Macaca mulatta: one gene and its partners. The protein of the gene in region 3 interacts with the protein of the main gene of each other region in a pairwise test. Links are inferred from orthologs where the notes say so. Each region holds a gene or a part of one and is shown on either strand. Other genes may lie near its edges.

Region 1 (5,034 bases), on a different chromosome or scaffold from region 3:
TAGCCACATTAGAGCATAGAGATGTGATTATTAATCTTTACGTTTTGCTGTTTGCTTTTGTGTGCGTGAAGTATCTTTAGAAGGAAATAACAGCGATTTTCTTTGAGGGGGGAACTGGATGGTGTCACCTATTCATAAAACTAATACTTCAAAAAATTAAACATTTAATAAAAATATTTTAAATTATAAATATAAATGACATCCTCTCTTTTGTTAAACTTAATCTTGTTAATGTTTAATTGCTCAGAACATTATAGTTTGTTAAACAAATTATCCCTTCTGACCTATATTTGGGCATCATTTGCAGCTCAGAATGAGTCGGGATATTTTCATTTAGTTAAGTTTACTCTTAGTGCTACCAAAACCAGGGTCACCCATTTTCCCTGGTATCCTTGACCTTTGCCTGGTGTTTGATGTGATGATACCATAGCTATTAGCCTCCCCAACACTGTTGCCGGCAGACCCGAAGTGTAGTGTCAGGTGGGGGAGATTTGTAAGTAGCAGGACTCTGTCATAAAAAATGTTGGAGAACTTAAGTATTATGATCCTGTTAAGTTCTGAGTTTTCTTTGCATAATCAGAAATGTATTCTCTTGCTGTTTTTACAACAAACCCTTAAAAAGACAAAGTTTCTTAAGCTAACAATAATTATAATTAAGAAATGCTTTTTCCATGTATCACCTTTTAGATTAAGACATAATAAAATAATATTGAAAATTGTGGCTATAGAATGTAGTTGTCTTAAAACACTTGGAAAAGTATAGTACTGTAGACATGTAACAAAATTGCACGTGTGGCCTTTACATTTATATAAAAAATTTTAAAACTATACTTACATTTTGATCTTTACCAAAATTTACTTTTCAAGAGTTGTTTCTATCTTGTACAAAACTGTATTACATAACTCTTTTTTGTTTAAACTACCAAAGCAGAAAGGAGTTACCTAGTCTTAGATCCATTTTGAACTATTAAGAGATAAACAGTATTTTCACATTTTTACCTACATTACTTAAAGTGATTTTGCCTATTAAAACTTTAAGAAAGATCCAAATGATTCTGTTTTTTAAAAATTATTTATTTATTTATTTATTTATTTTTGAGACGGAGTCTTGCTCTGCCGCCCAGTCTGGAGGGCAGTGGCGCTATCTTGGCTCACTGTAAGCTCCGCCTCCCGGGTTCACGCCATTCTCCTGCCTCAGCCTCCCGAATAGCTGGGACTTACAGGTGCCTGCCACCATGCCCAGCTAATTTTTTTGTATTTTTAGTAGAGACGGGGTTTCACCATGTTAGCCAGGATGGTCTCGATGTCCTGACCTCATGATCCATACGCCTCAGTCTCCCAAAGTGCTGGGATTACAGGCATGAGCTATCATGCCTGGCCCAAATGATTCTTAATTTTGTGTCTCATTTGTTTGAATCATTGCTTCATTAACCAGCAAAATACAACAAAAATCAATTTGTATAATTTTTATTAAAGTCTATCAAAATTTATGGAATAGGCTTTTCTTTTCTTTTTTTTTTTTTTTGAGACAAAGTCTCGCTCTTGTACCCCAGGCTGGAGTGCAGTGGCGCGATCTTGGCTCACTGCAAGCTCCGGCTCCCAGGTTCAAGCGATTCTCCTGCCTCAGCCTCCCAAGTAGCTGTAGCTGGGATTACAGACTCCTGCCACCACATCCAGCTAATTTTTTGTGTGTTTTTAGTAGACGAGGTTTCGCCATGTTGGCCAGGATGGTCTCGAACTCCTGACCTCAGGTGATCCACCCACCTCAGCCTCCCAAAGTTCTGGAATTATAGTCGTGAGCCAACCGCGCCCAGCAAGAATAGGCTTTTCTTAAATCCTTATTACTTAAACTCTTAAAATTTTTTTTTTCTGGCTGGGCACAGTAGCTCACGCCTGTAATCCCAGCACTTTGGGAGGCCTGAGGTGGGCGAATCACCTGAGGTCAGGAGTTCAAGACCAGCCTGGCCCACATCGTGAAACCTCGTTTCTACGAAAAATACAAAAATTAGCCAAGCGTAGGGGTGGGCACCTGTAATCCCAGCTACTCTCTGGAGGCTGAAGCAGGAGAATTGCTTGAACCCAGGAGGCGGAGGTTGCAGTCAGCCAAGATCGTGCCAGCCTGGGCAACAAGAGCAAAATTCTGTCTCCAAAAAAAAAAAAAAACCCTAAAAATCTTTGATATTTCTCTCTGTAGGATAAAGTAGAATTTTAAGACTAATGACTTATGATGTAGAAAGAAGAAACTGAATACATTTATATATGAGCTGTCACAGGAATGTTTGCTTTGTTCAGTGGCAGTTCCCACCATCTGTGCCATTCTTTTTTTTTTTGAGATGAAGTTTTGCTCGCATTGCCCAGACTGGAGTGCAATGGCATGATCTCAGCTCACTGCAGCCTGCAGCCTTCGTCTCCCAGGTTCAAGTGATTCTCCTGCCTCAGCCTCCCTAGTACTGAGATTACAGGTGCCCGCCACCACACCTAGCTAATTTTTGTATTTTTAGTAGAGATGGGGTTTTGCTATGTTGGTCAGGTTGGTCTCGAACTCCTGACCTGCCCCGCACCCGGCCTCCATGCCATTCTTTCTATTCCAAGTATCTAGTCTAGTAGTGGCATTATAGTAGGCATCCATTAAGCTTTTTTTTTTGAGCTAGATGATGATCAATTTGAAGTTTTTTATTATGACATTCTTATAATTAAGTGCTTATTCTGAGTTAATTTTCTTTGTCGTGTTTTCAGGACTACAGGAATATGTGGAAGCTGTCTCTTTTCAACACTTCATCAAAACACGATCATTAATTAGTATGGATGAAATTAATAAACAATTGATATTTACGACCGACGACAATGGGAAAGAAAATAAAACTGTGAGAATTTAAAGTTTATTTCACATTTATGATATAATTTATGTAACAGTATGATGATTCTAGTAGATTTATTGGCTTATGCTGAGACTGAGATGGGAATGTTCTTTCTAAAGTGTGGTTTTGTAGAGTCTCAACTAGGAAATGGTCTTTTTAAATATTTCAGTTAGTGGATAGAACAAGAACAACTCTGGGCATATTGGGAAAGTAATGCTCTTTACCTAAAGCGTTATGGAGTGCTTACTGTAAGTCCTCTTTTGGTTTTACTCTCTATTTTTCACCTGCCCTTTGTAAGCACTATCTTATTTAATCTTTGTATTAACCGTATGTGGTAAGCATTATTACTCTCATTTTACACAGAAAGAAACAGGCTTTTAGAGAGGTTAGGTAACTTACCAGAAGCCACACAACTAAAAAGTGTAGCAGAACTAAGATTTGAAGTTAGGTTTGGAATCCAAGCCTGTGCCCTTGTCTGCTCTCCCAGCACTTCTCACAGTGTGCTACAGGGATCCCTTGCATCAGGTACCTACCTCAAAGGGTTGTTTTAAAGGATTTGACCTAAAGGTTATTAATTAGGCAATATACAGCAGCACCTGACACGTAATATACATTGTATATAGCACCTGACACGGGAGTGCTCAGTAGTTTGCTGTTATAAAGTAGTTTTTATATAGTGAGAGCTGTTAATCATTTACTCAATAATGCTTGTATCTGAAATTTATGTAGCTTTTCTGAGTTAAGAAAAAAAACTTTGCAGTTTGACTTTTAAACAAATACTATTTTTTTCCTTCTGGGTTTCAAGATATAACATTCAGGCAATAAGGTAAGCTGTATTGACTATTTGATACTTTCAGAGATACCAGTACACTTAAAGATCAAATTAAATAAAATTTTTAAATTTTCATATTTTTTATCTTTTTAAAATCACTTTTAAAAACACCATATATTCAGGATAGGTAGGCAGGAGATGGAAGACACTGTAGAAATAATATTTTCTTGAATATCAGCTAAAATATTAAAACAAATGAGACTAATTTGGCATGACAGGTATAACTTACTTTAAGGAAGCCATGTATTAACTTTTTAAATTATATAAAGTGTATTAAGGAGGAAGTTTATTTTGAGAAGTAACATTTCTTCATATTTTTTATTCGTATAGTGTAGACTGAATTGCACAAAGAAGTAAAGCAGGCCTATTTGACCCTGCTTCTCACATAATATTAGGGAAGTTTCCACACTTTCAAGTTCTCTCTGTTTCAAAATGAAAATATTGGGGAAAAGGCCAGAAAATTGAGAGTCAGAGTACTGTTTTCAGGACTTAGGTACTAGATTATTTTAAGATTATGGGGCTATAATGTTCATACACACGTTTCAAATTAAGACTATGTTCATAAATAAGTTTTAGTGCTAAAGATGCGTGGTGCTGAAAATTCTGGGAATTTGATTGGGAAAGGTATTTTGCTCTTACTTGCCTGTTGAGAATATTGTCAAAACTATGTAATCTTTATTTAAAAAACTTTTTGTGAAAAAATTTCAAATGTGCAGAAAAATAGATTAGAAACAATAGTGCCACTAACTAGCTATCATATTCCCATAGCTCAACATCATATTCCCATAGCTCAACATCATATTACCTGTGATGTTTCTCTGGCCTGATTTCTTACGCTAAACGATGAGGACGTTGCACCAGATGGTCTCTGCAGAGTTCAGTGTTAGGAGTCATATATTAGATACATAGCAAAGAGTGATCTTAAGAAAGCTATCTCCCTCTTCTCAGCTTACATTTATGTAACTTCCTTTAAACTTGAATCAAAAGAATTATTAGTTCCTCAAATGCACAATTCTTACCTGCACACCTTTGTAGTTCCCACTACCTAAAATGTCCTTTGATGTAACTGAAACTTCAACTACCCTTTTATACATACAGTCTTTTAATAGCAATTTAGGCATTGTCTCTGCCAGAAAGAATTCAATAGAGGGAAATTGATGTGGAGAGAGATTTCATGATGATAGTAATCATGATAGCAGCTAGCATTTGTTGAATATTTACTTTGTGTTGGGCATTATGCCAAGAACTTGGTAAATGTTATCTCATTTAATCCTTAAAATAAACCTCTGAGGTAGGTACTGTTATCCCATTTTACAGATGAGGAAACTGAGGTTTAGAGAGATG
Region 2 (5,198 bases), on a different chromosome or scaffold from region 3:
GTGGGGGGAGCGGGGCCAGCGAGGGCCAAGTCAGGGAGATTCTCGGGAGCGGCCTAGGGGCGGCTGGGCTAGGACCACGGTGACACTCAGGTCCTGCGAGCAGGACTGCACATGGACATCGGGCGAGAGGAGGAGGGGGAGCACAGGTGTGTGCACCTAGTGGGTGGAGACCCCCCTGGGGCTGGGGCTGGTAAGCCCGGTGCGTCGGGCCCTCTGACCTGAGCCCCTGAACCCCAACCCCTGAGCAACCCTAGGGGAGCGCGGGGCTCCCGTCCCCAGGGGCGGGCCAGGAAGTAAACAGAAACTCCGAGCCGCGCTGCAGTCGGGCGGCCGGCACAACCTGTTACCTCGCCCTGTCCTGGGCCCTACGCCAGGGCCCTGGGAAACTGGGGGGTTGAGGGTCAGGACTCCTGACTCCGGAGGGGTGGGGACATGAATGCCTGAGTCCTGTGGAAAGTGGGGACTGAGGTGGGAATCCTTGGTGGGGGACATTGGAGGTGGGGACCTCTGAGTCTGGAGGGTGGAGTCAAAGCACCTGCTCAGGAGGTAACAGGAGAATGAGTGCGAGAGAGCTGGGAGGTCAGCAGCCGGGATCCGGGCTTCTGGTAGGGAAGGGAGCTGGATTCCTGGGGGCGAAGACACCTCAGTTCCCAAGTCTTAGGGTCCTGCATTCCTAGGAGGAGAAGGGGCTGGGCTCAACACCAACTGCTGAGTCCCTGAGAACCTGGGTTCTGGGAACTGTCTCAGATGGCAAGGGGCTAGGAGCCAAACTGCTGGGTTCTGGGAAGAGAGGGGAGAGGGAGCGGAGGTGGCCTGTGGCCCTGGAGCACTGGAATGAACTTTCCTGGGGACAGAGATTGTCTAGCAGAGGCCAAAGGCTGGGCAGGTCATTTCCTTCTGCTTGCTGCCTCAGTTTACCCCAGGGACATTAACGGAACTGGGTGGCCAAAACACAGGTCATTAACCCTTCGTGGCTCAGGAAGCCCTGGCTGCAGGACCTGGCAGGCTGGCAGCAGGTGGAGAATTCCTGGAGGGCCAGGTGTTGGGCGGAGGGTGAGCCCCTGTCAGACTGCAGAGTAGAGTGTCCCGCAGTCACCTGTCCCCGCAGATGCTGCAGGTGACATGAATTCTCCAGATGGGCCCAGCTTCCCGTCGGGGCTGCTCTCGGGGGGCGCCTCTCCCAGCGGCGACGAGGGCTTCTTCCCCTTTGTGCTGGAGCGGAGGGACTCATTCCTGGGAGGGGGCCCAGGGCCTGAGGAGCCCGAGGACCTAGCCTTGCAGCTGCAGCAGAAGGAGAAAGACCTGCTATTGGCGGCGGAGCTCGGCAAGATGCTTCTGGAGCGAAATGAGGAGCTGCGGCGGCAGCTGGAGACGCTGAGCGCCCAGCACTTGGAGCGTGAGGAAGTGAGCTAGCACTGGACTGGGTGGGTGGCCGGGTGGGCAGAGGAGGATGGGTGGGCCTGGAGAGGACAAGGGAAGGGGGTCAGGCACAGGACGGAGAGAGGAGCCGGGGAGGACAGCGGGGCAGGGGGAGGACATTGGAACAGATCAGAGCTGGGTCCAGTCCCCCTGGCAGTGTTGCCTAGTGGTAAATAACAGGAACTCTGGGTGCCGGGCACAGTACCTCACACCTGTAATCCCAGCACTTTGGGAGGCCAAAGCAGGAAGATCACTAGCCCAGTGTTCAAGATCAGCCTGGGCAACATAGTGAGACTCTGTCTCTACAAAAAATAAGAAAATTAGCTGGATGTGGTGGTGGCACCTGTAGTCTCAGCTACTCAGGAGGCCGAGGCAGGGGGATCACTTGATCCCAGGAATTTTAGAGTTTGAGGCTGCAGTAAGCTATGATCCACTGCACTACAGCTTGGATGACAGAGTAAGATCCTGAAAAAAAAAAAAAAGAAGGAAGGAAGGAAGGAAGGAAGGAAGGAAGGAAGGAAGGAAGGAAGGAAGGAAGGAAGGAAGGAAGGGAGGGAGGGAGGGAGGGAGGGAGGGAGGGAGGGAGGGAGGGAGGGAGGGAGGGAGGGAGGGAGGGAAAAGAAAAGAAAGAAAAAAAAGAAAGGAAAGGAAGGGAAGGGAAAGGAAAAAAGGCGTGAATTCTCAGGCCAGGCATGGTGGCTCACACCTGTAATCCCAGCACTTTGGGAGGCTGAGGTGGCAGGATCACTTGAGGTCAGGAGTTCGAGACCAGCCTGGCCAACATGGTGAAACCCCGTCTCTACTAAAAATACAAAAAAAAATTAGCCAGGCATGATGGGGTGTACCTGTAGTCCCGGCTACTTGGGAGACTGAGGCAGGAGAATCACTTGAACCTGGGAGGCAGAGGTTGCTATGAGCCAAGATCATGCCACTGCTCTCCAGCCTGGGTGACAGAGTGAGACTCCGTCTCAAAAAAAATAAAAAATAAATAAAAAATAAAAAATAAAAAACTGGGTTCAGACCCTTGTCCAGCTGTGTGACCCTGGGTCAGCTGCTGGCCCTCTCTGGATCTTGTGTCTAGCTCCTCAGCAGTATCACAGAACACCAGGCAACAGTCATGGGTGTCTACACCCTGCCTGGCACTGGGCTGAGTGCTTTCCATGACTCTCCATTGATTCTTGCCCAGCCCAATGAGGCAGGAACAGTTCCCTCTACCCAGGTTCTATTTTTGGCCAAATTCTTGCTCTGGGGTTCACATCTGGTCTCCTGAACACCCTCCTTCATCTGCTGCACTGGCCCCAACCACTGCCCTGAGCCTGACCTGGGTAGCTAACCCTCTCCACCAGGCCACCTAGTGGGCATCTCAACACAAGTGGCACTTGATTCCACACCCTCGATTCCATGCCCACATCACCTGCTGTCCCCATCCTTGCCTTCCCACTTGAGGACCAGGGCCTGTGCACCTCCTTGGCCTTTTTTTTTTTTTTTTTGGCGAGACACGGGCTCCCTCTGTCACCCAGGCTGTAGTGCAGTGGTGCAATCATAGCTCACTGGAACCTCAACCTCATGAGCTCAAGCAATCCTCCCATCTCAGCCTCCTGAGTAGTTGGGACTACAGGCACACATGCACCACCATACCTGGCTAATTTTTGCATTTGTTGTAGAGATGGGGTCTCACCATGTTGCCCAGGCTGGTCTCAAACTCCCGGGCTCAACCAAACCACCTGCCTCAGCCTCCCAAAGTGTTGGGATTACAGGTGTGAGTCAATGCGCTCAAACTTTCTTGAATGTACAAACTCCCCCCAATATCCACAAGCCCTTTTAATTCTTCTAGACTAGACTCCAACCACCCACTTGTTGGCTCTGCAGCCTCCAAGCTGATCACAGATCACAGCCTCCATCACCTCTGCCCCAGACACTCCAGCCACCTGCTCCTGAGTCCCCAGCTTCCACTCTTTTATTATTATTATTTTTTAGATGGAGTCTCACTCTGTTGCCCGGGCTGGAGTGCAGTGGTGCGATCTCAGCTCACTGCAACCTCTGCTTCCCGGGTTCAAGTGATTCTCTCACCTCAGCCTCCCGAGTAGCTGGGATTACAGGTGTGTGCCACCAAGCCCAGATAATTTTTGTATTTTTAGTAGAGACGGGTTTTTACCATGTTGGCCAGGCTGGTCTCGACTTCCTGACCTCAGGTGATCCACTTGCCTCAACCTGCAAAAGTGCTGGGATTATAGGTATGAGCCACTGCGCCCAGCCCCCAGCTTCCACCTTTGACCCCTGGAGCCCATTCTCTAAGGGACAGCCCGGAATTTTCAAAAGCTGCAAATCACATCATTTCACTCCTCAACCAGAATCTCCCCCTCACACTTAGAATGAAACCGAAACTCTTCCCCAGAGCCTAAAAGTCCCAGCGAGCTGGGCTCCTCCCTGACCTCACCACAGCAACACCACCCCTTTCTCCCTTCCTCCAAGAAGGGCAGCCGATCCACCCTCTCCCCGACAATGAGGGCTCTTTTCAGTTCCTCCAAGAACTCACGCTTGTTCCCTCAGGAACTTTGCACTTGCTGTCCCTTAATGCCTAGCCTTCTTTCTGGTGGCTCTTCTTGTCCTGCAGAAGTCAACTCAAACACGACATCCTCCTTGAAGGACCCTCCACCCCCACCCCACTCCTTACTCTCCATCACTTCCTGGGTCTCTTTGCAGCCCTTACTGTCCCCCTGAAATTACCTGGCTCCGGCATGTGTCCATGCCCTCTGGACTCTAAGCTACTTGAAGCAGTGAACTTGGTGGTCTCATGTGCCGCTGACAGCAGACCCCAGAGCAAGCGGAGCTCAGGAAATATGGGAGGATTGATAGTAGTGTGGGTGAATGGACTTAGAGATATTGTGTCCAGGCCACAAGGCATCAGCAGAGCTGAATATCAGCCAGGACAATGTGACCTTGAACCTGACAGCTTAATCCTGAAGCTGTATTGTCCCTACAGGATTTGGTTAAAAGTTCTGCTGCCTGAGTTGGCATCCCTGCTTTGTGAAGTTATTGTGTGGGCATGGTGGCTCACGCTGGTAATCCCAGCACTTTGGGAGGCCCAGGAGGGTGGATTGTTTGAGACCAGGAGTTCAAGACCAGCCTGGCCAACATGGTGAAACCCCATCCCTACTAAGAAAACAAAAAAAAATTTGCCAGGCGAGGTGGTGCACACCTGTAATCTTAGCTACTTGGGAGGCTGAGGCAGGAGGATCTCTTGAACTTGGGAGGCGGACATTGCCATGGGCCGAGATTGTTCCACTGCACTCCAGCCTGGGCAAAAGAGTGAAGATCTGTCTCAACAAAATAATAATAAATAATAAAAACAAAAATAAATGACTGTGTGTCCTTAGGCAAGGCACTTAGCAACTATGAGCTTCAGTTTCATCTAAACCCAGGACATTAGTGATTCTCCCTCTAGTGGATGAAATGAAGTAATGCAGATAAACCCCTAATGCAGGGTACCTGCCAGTCACTGCAGTAGCTGTGACAATTGTCACCTTCGTCCAAGCCCATCCCGCTTTGAGGGCCTAGAGAGAGTGGGCCAGAGGTTAACCCCCGACTCATCTGCTTCCCCACGCTGGGCATCTGGGTGTGCCAGGGCGTTCCCCCGCTGGTCAGACAAGTTTTGGGGCCGGGGTGGGGCTGACCAGGGTTAATTAGAGGGAACTGGCTAGCAGGAGCTGGGGAGGGGGCTGGGCAGAGTCCAGGCCTCCAGAGCCCCTGGGACACAGCAGGTGTGTGCTGCCATGGGC
Region 3 (5,233 bases):
CCTCCCCAGGTGTCTTCCCAGAGCTCTCTGGAACACCTGCTGTCTGCTCCCGCGGGGGACCACCCACCCACAGCCTGGGTGCACAGAGGGACCCTCCCCTCCCCTCTGGCCCTAGGCACCCGGCGGGAGCATACCCTCTCTCTCCCACTCAGACACAGCATCCTGGGGCGCGTGAGGCTGTCCCTGTCCCACCAGCCACACTTGTAACTCCCCTCGACCCCTCTCCTCTGCCCACCAGTGCACCACTACGGGCGGGCCGTCATCATGTTTGGCGTCCCCTACGTCTACACACAGAGTCGCATTCTCAAGGTGAGTAGCTCTGGCTCCCAGAAGTCCCAAAGTGTTAGGGCCAGGGGAGGGACGGCTCCCCCACCCCCCCAACTCCTCGTCCTTCATTTCTGCAGGCACGGCTGGAATACCTGCGGGACCAGTTCCAGATTCGTGAGAATGACTTTCTCACCTTCGATGCCATGCGCCATGCGGCCCAGTGTGTGGGTCGGGCCATCCGGGGCAAGACGGACTACGGCCTCATGGTCTTTGCCGACAAGGTGCAGGTTCAGGGGTGCCCCTGTGCTCGCACCCCAGCCTCTGAAAACCAGGCTATTTGCCCGTTCATCTCCCAGATGGGGTGTGTCACAGGGTGGAGGGTGGCCCAGGCTCCCTGACTCTGGTGCTGACGTCCTCTCCCTGGCCTGCACTTCTGCCCACAGCGGTTTGCCCGTGGGGACAAGCGGGGGAAACTGCCCCGCTGGATCCAGGAGCACCTCACAGATGCCAACCTCAACCTGACTGTGGATGAGGGTGTCCAGGTGGCCAAGTACTTCCTGCGGCAGATGGCACAGCCCTTCCACCGGGTGAGGCCTGCATCCCCCTCCCAGCATCCTCCCAGGCTGAGCTCCTCCTCCAGAAAGGCCCCTTGGATTCTCCCCACTCCCCAACCCCAGCCTGTCCTCCTGCCCTCTACAGAGAGAAGTTTATTGTGCATCTGCATGCCAGGCTCTGGGGGGTAGGGAGAGATTCGAGGGGCCACAGATGCCAGCAGGTGGCCCAGGCAAGGCAGGGTGAGAATTTGGGGTGAGGAGGTATCAGGCATTGAGACTGTGCTGGCCTGGGGAAAGCCCGTCCTTCTCCGACGCCCTGGCTGGCTCCTCCCTCAGCCCCCTCTTATGTGGACAGGAATGGCCCACTCTGGATTATACTGACATCTCCAAATTCAAACATCCTGGCCCTCATGTCTCAGACCCCTAATGCCCATCGGGGGCGGGTGGTCGGGGAAGTACAGCAGCTGCCTGGGCCCCTTCCTGACAGTGCCCCCCTTACTTTCCTCTGTTCTCTGCAGGAGGATCAGCTGGGCCTGTCCTTGCTCAGCCTGGAGCAGCTGGAATCAGAGGAGACGCTGCAGAGGATAGAGCAGATTGCTCAGCAGCTCTGAGCGGGATGGGCAGGGCCATAAATGATTCCTGGTGACTCCTGAGTCTTGCCTGGCCCTAAACCAGCAGCTCTGAGGCCGTAGCGGGGGTGGTGCTGGAAGGTCTTATAAACTCAGGTGACATTCCTCACTGTCACATCCACGGCCTTTAATCGCAGAAGAGGGCAGGGGGCACCTAAGAGATGATAGACCCCCCCCGTCCCCCACCAGCTGAGGCCAACACAGGTCACTGGATATTAGCGGGGACTCAGGTCCTGGGTGCTGGTGCTGAGTGTCCGAGGGGCCTTGTCCAGGTGCCAGCTGGGGAACTGGAGACAGGCACAGGGGATGGTTGGAGGGGAGGGACAGGTGCTGCATCCAGCCTGGCAGCCAACCGTCTACCCATCTCACCTCTACCCCAAGTAAAACCCATCTTTGCTCCTGTCCTGGGTCTCTTTTAACACACCCACCACCTGCTGACTCTGACGCCGGCCTGACCGCCCTGCTTTTGCCTTATCTCTGCACCTACCCACGTGGCCCCACTCCATTTTTGACCCCGGTGTCCCCTCACCTGAGTCCCAGGAGCCCTTGGGCCATCCACATTGAGTGTGTTGAGCGACATGGCTCTCTTCATTCTGCGAAGGGGGCAGCAGGGAAGAAGCGAGTGAATCCAGGAGTGGCCCCTCCAGGAGGGAGCTTTCCAGCACAGGATTTGATCTATGTGTATCACAGGGGAGATGGGAGCCATGGAAGGTTCTTGAGCAGGAGGGGTGGGGGGTGGGCTATGAATTCTGCTGATGTCAGGGCTCTTTGCCGACCTGATCCACACTCACCCGGCCGCCCCCGCCGCCCCCTCGCCTCGGAGGCGGGAGACCAGCTTCTCACTTCCTCGCCGGATAGACTCGCGGATCTTAGAGAGGGAGCTGCTGCGGCGAAGGGCCTGGGGAGGGGCAGGGATGCTGCTCATATCTCCGAGCCCATGCAGTCCTCACGCCTTCCCCAGGAGCCGAAGCACAGCCCATCCTCACCTGTTCTGTGTCACCAGCTGTGCCTGTGTTGGGGGCACCTAGGGGAAAGATGGGGGACACCGAGATGGGGACGTAGAGAAGCCACCAGGAGGGAAGGCAGGGGCTCGGGGCTCACCGAGAGGGGCAGGTAGATCCTCCTTGTGGAGGATTTCTTTGTACAGCTCTTCCGCTTGTTGGTACTTGTTCTGTTTCAGGTAGGCTGAGGCCTGCGGAGAAGGGAGTGTCTTGGGTGATCTTGGCTCTAGTCTGGGAACTTTTCGGACCCCAGTTCCCAACACTGCATCCAGTCCCACTTTTTTTCTTTTTTTTTTGTAGAGACAGGGTTTTGGTATGTTGCCCAGGCTGGTCGTGAACTCCTGGCCTCAACTGATCCTCCTGCCTTGGCCTCCCAAAGTGCTGGGGTTACAGGCGTGAGCCACCACACCTGGCCCCAGTCCCACTTTCTACTGTGCTGACCTGGCCATATCCCGCCCCTGCCTAAAGCCTTGCCCTGGGGCAGAGGGGGTTTGGAGCTCCGCCCTACCTCCTGCCTGGGGGATGGAGGGCAGGCAACCTCCTGTTTCTGAGCCTGTCTGCTCTACTTTGGGCTGGTGGCATGGCCTCTCTTCTCACATGCAAAGTAGAGTGACAGCTTCTACCTCATAGGGACACTGTAAGAACTAGTGATGTGGGGACAGAGCTAAGAGGGGAGCCGGCCACAGTGAGCTCAATAAATGTCTGCTGCTGCCATCTGTGCCTGCCAGCTTCCCCTTCACTGACTGTCCTGGGTCCCGTGGACTCACGCATTTCCTGATTCCGTGTTCTGTGCTGAGCCAGCTCCTGTGTCTGATAGGACACTTGCTCCAAGGGCCCTGCCTCAGGGGGACCCCTCCCCATGGTGCCCTGTACCCAACCAATGGGTGCCTCCCCAGGGCAGACCCTCCACTCTGGGCCCACTCAGCCCCAGGGACCTCACCAGATTGTTCTTGGTCTTGGCCACGTTGGGATCATGGGGCCCGCCCAGGGCCTCATAGATGCTCAGGGCCCGGGCGTAGTGCCGTTCCACGTCCTCAAACTTGCCCTGGTTCTGGCACAGCAGGGCCAGGTTGTTGAGCTGCTTGGCCACATCAGGGTGGTCAGCACCTAGGACCTGGGGGCCAGGGGTCACAAGTCAGAGGGGTCATACAGGATTGGTGGGACACGTGACATCACTTCTGTATGGTGGTCACAAGTTAGGGATTACAGGGCCAAAGCAGAGTGACCTGAGAGGTTGGGGGCTGGGGCACAAGTGACACCGTCGAGCGGGATTACTGAGGTCAGAGGCCAAGGTGATCCAGAAACTCACGGGGCACAAGGTGAGATGGGTAGGTCAGGGCTGGGCTTGTGCCAGTGGCCATGAGGGGTTGGAAAGGCTGTGGCGGGACCTAGTTGGGGGGTGGCGTGTGAGGTAAGGCAAGAGGTCAGAGTCAGGGTCAAGACCAAACTGGGATCTCAGAAGGTCGAGGGTGATGGGTTGGGCTCCAATTGGGGTCTCCCAGTACCAAACGCAAGGGGCCCGAGGATCAGGGTCACGATGTAAGTGCTCAGGATCCATGGAGAGGGCTACAAGGGGTTCCTCGGGGTTGGGTAAGGGGGATGGGACCTTCTCTCGGATCTCCAAAGCGCGCTGGCACAGGGGCTCTGCCTCCCGGTAACGCCCGCGCTTCCCATAGAGGACGGCCAAGTTGTTGAGCGTGGCGGCCACCTGTGGGGTTGGGGGAGACACAGGTCAGGGATGGGCAGGCATGGCCCCACTTCGTCTCCCTGGGGCCCCACTCACCGCAGGGTGCTCAGGGCCCAGCGTCTGCTCCCGGATCTGCAGGGCATCATGGAGGAGCTCTGTGGCTTCTTTGTACTTGTTCTGGTCCCTGTGTGGAAGCCCAGGGATGGCGGGGGTTGGCCGGGGGTTGGGGCAGCTACAGCCACAGGGGCTGGGCTAATTCTGGCAGGTCCAGGGAACCTGGCTGAACCAAGCATGGGTAGCACCCTTTGGGGGCCTTTTATGGGCCCTTACATACCTTCCAATTCTCTAACACCAGGCCCTGTATCCCCAGACCTCTGCCAAGCTTCTAACCACCCCAGTTCTCTTGCCTGCTCTTGGGGTCCCTGGTGTCTGTGCTCTGACTCCTCTCTGCCTGACTCAGTGCCCCGCCAACCCGCCAGATCCCTGGCCCACTCCCTCTTTGCCGTTCTTACAGCAGGAGCCTTCCCTTCCTTTCCCATTCTGGCTGTCCCCTCCTCCGACCTCCCCAGGTGCTCCATGGTGGCAGAGGGGACCAGGGTCCCTCCACTTGCACCCAATGGGTCCCTGCCGTTCCTGCCCCCTGCCATCATGGCCGGCCGCATCTCACCGGTATACCAGTGCCAGGATGTTGAGCATGGTGGCCACGTCAGGGTGGCAGTGGCCCGAGCTGCGCTCCAGGTCCTCCAAGGCCTGGCGGCACAGGGGCACCGCCACCTCATACCGGCCCTGCCCCGCGTACTGGATCACGAGGTTATGCAGGGTCCGAAGGCGGGCAGGGATCTCATAGCCACCCTGCTGAGCTGCTGCTGCTCCTGCGGCCTCAGGACCTGGGTGGGGCAGGGTGGGCTCTGGGTCACTGCAAGCCTCCTAAGCCTCCTGCCCCTCCATCCTCGCACGAGGAGACACACGCCCCAGACTGCCTAACTGGCCCCTGGGACTATGGGCCCCCATGTTAACTTCTGAGATTGGAGTCACTAGCATCTAACCAGCTGGTGGGATGCATCCTGGCCTCGGGACAGGTACATGGCAGCTCAC
Region 4 (4,843 bases), on a different chromosome or scaffold from region 3:
AAAAATATACTAAAAATATATTCCAAAATAGGTTGAATTGATGGTTTAAAGTTAAAAAATTAAAATTGAACATTAAAAAGTTCAATTCGGTAAGTTTTTAATTTATTGAACATCTATTACATGCCTAACACTGTGCTTGTCAGGTAGAATTATAATGAAGAAAACAGTTCTTACTTTCAAGGAGCTTACTGCTCCTATTAGTGAAAAAAAGCATATATGTGACAACTAGAGAATACAATGAACCAGGATAACTTTGAATAAGACAAAAAGTGTATATGTAAGAAGCCCAAAGTAAGATAAGGTCAACGTGGGCTGCAGAGACTGGGGGGAAAGGTTGTATGTAAGATAACTGGTAAAAACCAGAGAACAGAGAGCAGAGAGAAGAACTTTTCTGGTAACATTAACAGCAAATCTAATAATTGGTTCTAGGAATGAGTATCAAGTTTTGAAAATTATACATACACACACGTGTGTGTATGTATGTGTATATATATGTGTGTGTGTATAAATATGTGTGTTTTTTTTAACTGCCATTCAGGAGTACTTTAAATTCAGGAATACCTTTGTGTACAAATACTTTTGTATATTCCTGAATTTAAAGTACTCCTGAATGGCAGTTTAAAAAAAAGTCAAGGGAATAACTTTATCACCTTGAGTAGTATATGGTAATAGTGGAGGCAGACAGAATTAAACAAAAACAATACGTATCAACCAGCCAAAACCCATTTCTTCAAAGTCTAACCCATTACTTAATCTGTTTCACTTGAGCATAGGTCGAATTTGTAGAGCTGACCCAGACTTTGGGTGAGTACCTAGTTCTCTATTTAGTTAATAATCAATTTTTATTACAGATATTACATTTATCATAATAAAGTGCTTAAAATTTATACTGGTATAGCTATTATGGAATATATATCATGTTTTTCAAAATATAGTATATATATACTAGCTGAGTTTTAAAAATGATCATTCTTCTATTCCTTTCAAGTTTCTCTTATGCAATTTCAAGAAAGTGTACAAGTTGTATAATCTTCACTCCAAAACATACAGAAATTTTTACTTATTATAGCCTTAAAAGCCAGTAAAATAAAAATATTTGTTTTAAAAATGTCACTTCTTTCTTTCTTCCTTTCTTTCCCACAATAAGAATAAAAGTAATAATATTCTGCATCTTTTATTACTTTCCTATAAAAGGCAGGGAGGCTTATTTGTGACATTCATATATCATTAACTTATATGAATGATGATTTTGTCCATAGGCAGATGGCTACATGAGGTGACTTGAGGGTTCCTGGGAAAGGCTCCCTCTGCCTTCTGCTCCAGCAGTGTAATAGTGCTGCAAGTTCAACCTACGGAGTCATTGTCTTGGAATTAAATATTATATTCCATGATTTTTCTGTTAAAATAATAAAACTGTTAGCTATTCTTAGTTATTACATCTTAACAGAAGTATAGAGTTTTCCTCACCATCCCTGTCCTACTCACTATAGCTAGCTGAGTATAGGTCCCCAGGGAATGGAACACAACACAGCCTGTTTTGGGAAAGAGGAAATCATGCTTTAAGGACTGGGGCACTGCTTAGGAGCCAGGTTTATGTCTGGTAGTGAATAAGAGACCTGCTGACATAAGGGGTATCATTAAAGCATTAGAGGAGAGAAGGAAGAGGAAAAAGAATGCTAAAAGGGTAATTGGAGGGCTGCTAAGGCAAGTTTAGTTTACCTCACAATTTCCCCAAAGCAATTTCTGAATACATAACTGAACCTATTTGTTCACTTAAAAAATTTTAACTTGGAGAGTTACGTAGGAGGTCCATGTTATTCCAGTGGGACAGATGGCTCTATTCTGTCATAGGCCTAAGTGACTACCATCCATCTTTTCACTAAATCCCATATACAGACCTCAAATTTGGAAAGTCGTACAGAGATACAACACTGAATCCACATTTTATCTTTTTATTAAAATCTCTTAGTAAAGCCTTCTTACACTGTCTTGATGCTTCTTCAGTTTGGAGATTTGTTCTCCTTTAATTTCCATTTTCTTGACTAAACACTCTAGTTCACATTCTATGTCGTCACAGACTGAATGGCTTTCAGTTTCCTTCATTTGTTTCAGTAGTTCTTGGTGCTCCCTATGAAAGAATAGCAAATATTAAGCACTACTATAGTTTATTGCATATATGTCTTTGCCATAATTAAGCAATTTTCTGTTCAATCATAAATTTTAGTCAGACTTAAATATTAACCTTTAAAAACAGCATCTTTCTTTAGGGTTGTTTAATTAAATCTACAGTAACTATAACCAGGCTCCTGTGATTTGAAATTAAATACCTTTACAAATATCTTAAGACTGCTAAGCAACTTTAAAAAATATGTGAATTCCTGATGCTCATAGCTCAATGTAGTAAAATGTGTGATGTCTTTAACAGAGGTATTAAAGGGCTTTCTTCCTCATTATTGATATAGGATCTTTGGAAGAATTCCAGCTGTGGAAGTATTTGCCTGAAAAATTTCTGGATTTGGAGTTAGCCTACTGAAATGCTGTTAACAGAAACAGCTGTATCTTCTACAGATGTCTTAGGTCAACTAGCTGGTCAGCCAAACCACATAGTTCTGGAATTTCTATTGAATATATATTTAAGCAAGTGGGCACAATATAATGTATCCCATATGGAAATCTTCCTTACTATAGATGCTTCAAAATCTGTAATGCAGACCAGCCAGAGTCTAAAACAAGGAATTACATTCCTACTTGTCTAATTAAATAATTCATTCAGCTAAAAGATTCTAAAACACAAAAGGAGAGCTTTTCTTATAAACGCTTTTGTGAGTTTTAATCTAAGGTCATCAGATCCTATATGTTAGAATGACAGTAGTAGCTATCAGTCCAGATCTTGGGAATACAGAAATACCTTAGAATGAAAAAGTAGTAGTTATAAAGAACTGAAATTTTAAATAGTAACAAATACAATGAAAAATAGTGACAACAAATCTTTCCAAATGGCTAAGTAAGGCCTTTAAGAATTTATAAGTGGTATTGTTCTTAAGACTAAGAAGAAAAAGTGATATGGTACTTCTCCTGATAAAGAATAAAAATTGCTGGCCAGGCACGGTGGCTCACGCTTGTAATCCCAGCACTTTGGGAGGCTGAGGCAGGAGGACTGCCTGAAACCATGAGTTCAAGACTAGCCTGGGCAACATAGCAAGACACTGTCTCTTAAAAAAAAAATATATAAATACTTACATGCTCATTTGGTCCAGCTCATCTTGCATTGCCATCAAAAGTTCAGATAAATTGTCACAAATGGAAATGGACTTTTCTGAGTCACGAGGAATAGCCTTACACCAGGAAGTTGTTCTAGAAGGCCTGGGGAGACATCTAGTCTCAGCCACGTTAAAAGGTTTCTGAAGGATATGTGGGCCACGATGTTGCCTCCTCTGCAAAAGGTTTTGCATACTTGCATTCACAGAACAGTTTGCACTGGTGGACTTATGGGAAAAGAAACAACTGAGAATAATTTTAAATGACTGAAGATATTTTAATAGCACTTACAATGAAACAGGAATTTTTTTGAACAACTATCTTCATTTTATCCCCTCTCACCTTTTCAGCCACAAAAGGCAGTGCTCCAAACTTTGAACAAATTTGCCAAGGTGGTCCTCTCTTTATACATTTAGTTTTCTAGAGATTGACAAGAAAAAAACATAAATAAGAAATTATTTTAAAAGTTATTTATGATATGAAGAACTCTCAAAACTCAACAGAAAACAATGCAACTGGAAAATGGGCAAAAAGACATGGACAGAAATTTCACTGACAAAGACATATGTATGGCAAACATATGAAAAGATATTCAACATCATTAATTATGGAAATGAAAGTTAAAATTAGTGAAATATCACTGCACATCCATCAGAATGGCCAAAATAAAAAATAGTGACAATACCAAATGTTGGCAAGCATGCAGAGAAAATAAAACCACTCACATATTGTTGGTGGGAATACAAAATGGTACAGCCATTTTGGAAGACAGTTTGGCAGTTTCTTATAAAACTAAAAATGTACTTATTACATGACCCAACAATTGCTCTCTTAGGCATTTATCCTAGAAAAATGAAAACTTATGTTCACATAAAAACATGTATACAAATGTTCATAGCAGCTTTATCTGTAATAGCTAAAAAATTGGAAACAATCGAAATATCCTTTTTTTTTTTGAGACAGGGTCTCATTCTGTCACCCATACTGGAGTGCAATGGTACAATCTTGGCTTACCGCAACCTCTGTCTCCCAGGCTCAAGCGATTATCCTGCCTTAATCTCCCAAGTAGCTGGGATTACAGGTGTGTGCCACTACTGCCCGGCTAATTTTTGTATTTTTAGTAGAGACGAGGTTTCACCATATTGGCCAGGCTGGTCTTGAACTCCTGACCTCAAATGATGCACTCGCCTTGGCCTCCCAAACTGTTGGGATTACAGGCATGAGCCACCATGCCGGACTCCAGATATCCTTTAACAGATGAACAGTTAAATTGTGGTACATCTGTAATGCGGAATATCACGCAGAAATAAAAAGGATGTATTGATACATACAACAACTTGGATGGACCTCAAGGGAAAAAAGCCAATCTCAAAAAGTTACATACTGTATAATTCCATTTATATAATAATATTGAAATAATAAAATATACAGATGGTGAACAGATTAGAGGTTGCCAATGTTCAGGGAAGGGGATGTGTAGCTATAGAGGGATTGCATGAAGGAGTCTTTTAGTGGTGGAAGAGTTCTGTATCTTGATTGTTGTGATAGTGACATGAATCTACGCATATGATTCTCTCATAAAATC

Evidence for each region.
Region 1: the proteins of KLC3 (region 3) and TSNAX interact in binary tests that used the Homo sapiens proteins (3 or more experiments, as listed by UniProt). The two-hybrid records come from large-scale screens. The link is inferred for Macaca mulatta from reciprocal best matches to the Homo sapiens genes KLC3 and TSNAX.
Region 2: the proteins of KLC3 (region 3) and BICDL2 interact in binary tests that used the Homo sapiens proteins (3 or more experiments, as listed by UniProt). The two-hybrid records come from large-scale screens. The link is inferred for Macaca mulatta from reciprocal best matches to the Homo sapiens genes KLC3 and BICDL2.
Region 4: the proteins of KLC3 (region 3) and CEP57L1 interact in binary tests that used the Homo sapiens proteins (3 or more experiments, as listed by UniProt). The two-hybrid records come from large-scale screens. The link is inferred for Macaca mulatta from reciprocal best matches to the Homo sapiens genes KLC3 and CEP57L1.

The regions. Positions count from the first base shown.
Region 1 is NC_133406.1:17,464,652-17,469,685, reverse strand, and holds part of TSNAX (translin-associated protein X), read left to right. Parts: intron 1-2,736; coding exon 2,737-2,864; intron 2,865-5,007; exon of another isoform or gene 5,008-5,034.
Region 2 is NC_133425.1:4,275,250-4,280,447, reverse strand, and holds part of BICDL2 (BICD family-like cargo adapter 2), read left to right. Parts: coding exon of another isoform or gene 1-168; intron 169-170; coding exon of another isoform or gene 171-492; exon of another isoform or gene 493-828; intron 829-1,092; coding exon 1,093-1,404; intron 1,405-4,709; exon of another isoform or gene 4,710-5,192; coding exon of another isoform or gene 5,193-5,198.
Region 3 is NC_133424.1:57,870,235-57,875,467, reverse strand, and holds the end of KLC3 (kinesin light chain 3), read right to left. Parts: intron 5,026-5,233; coding exon 4,806-5,025; intron 4,323-4,805; coding exon 4,235-4,322; intron 4,160-4,234; coding exon 4,058-4,159; coding exon of another isoform or gene 3,785-4,057; exon of another isoform or gene 3,761-3,784; intron 3,566-3,760; coding exon 3,392-3,565; intron 2,643-3,391; coding exon 2,552-2,642; intron 2,475-2,551; coding exon 2,437-2,474; intron 2,368-2,436; exon of another isoform or gene 2,349-2,367; coding exon 2,242-2,348; intron 2,044-2,241; coding exon 1,980-2,043; intron 1,851-1,979; exon of another isoform or gene 1,738-1,850; coding exon 1,666-1,737; 3' UTR 1,557-1,665; downstream 1-1,556. Other genes in the region: ERCC2 (general transcription and DNA repair factor IIH helicase subunit XPD), read left to right, coding at 239-309, 405-548, 711-854, 1,340-1,432. UniProt on the Homo sapiens protein: Kinesin is a microtubule-associated force-producing protein that may play a role in organelle transport. Plays a role during spermiogenesis in the development of the sperm tail midpiece and in the normal function of spermatozoa.
Region 4 is NC_133409.1:14,268,202-14,273,044, reverse strand, and holds part of CEP57L1 (centrosomal protein CEP57L1), read right to left. Parts: intron 3,679-4,843; coding exon 3,601-3,678; intron 3,486-3,600; coding exon 3,241-3,485; intron 2,129-3,240; coding exon 1,984-2,128; intron 1-1,983. UniProt on the Homo sapiens protein: Centrosomal protein which may be required for microtubule attachment to centrosomes.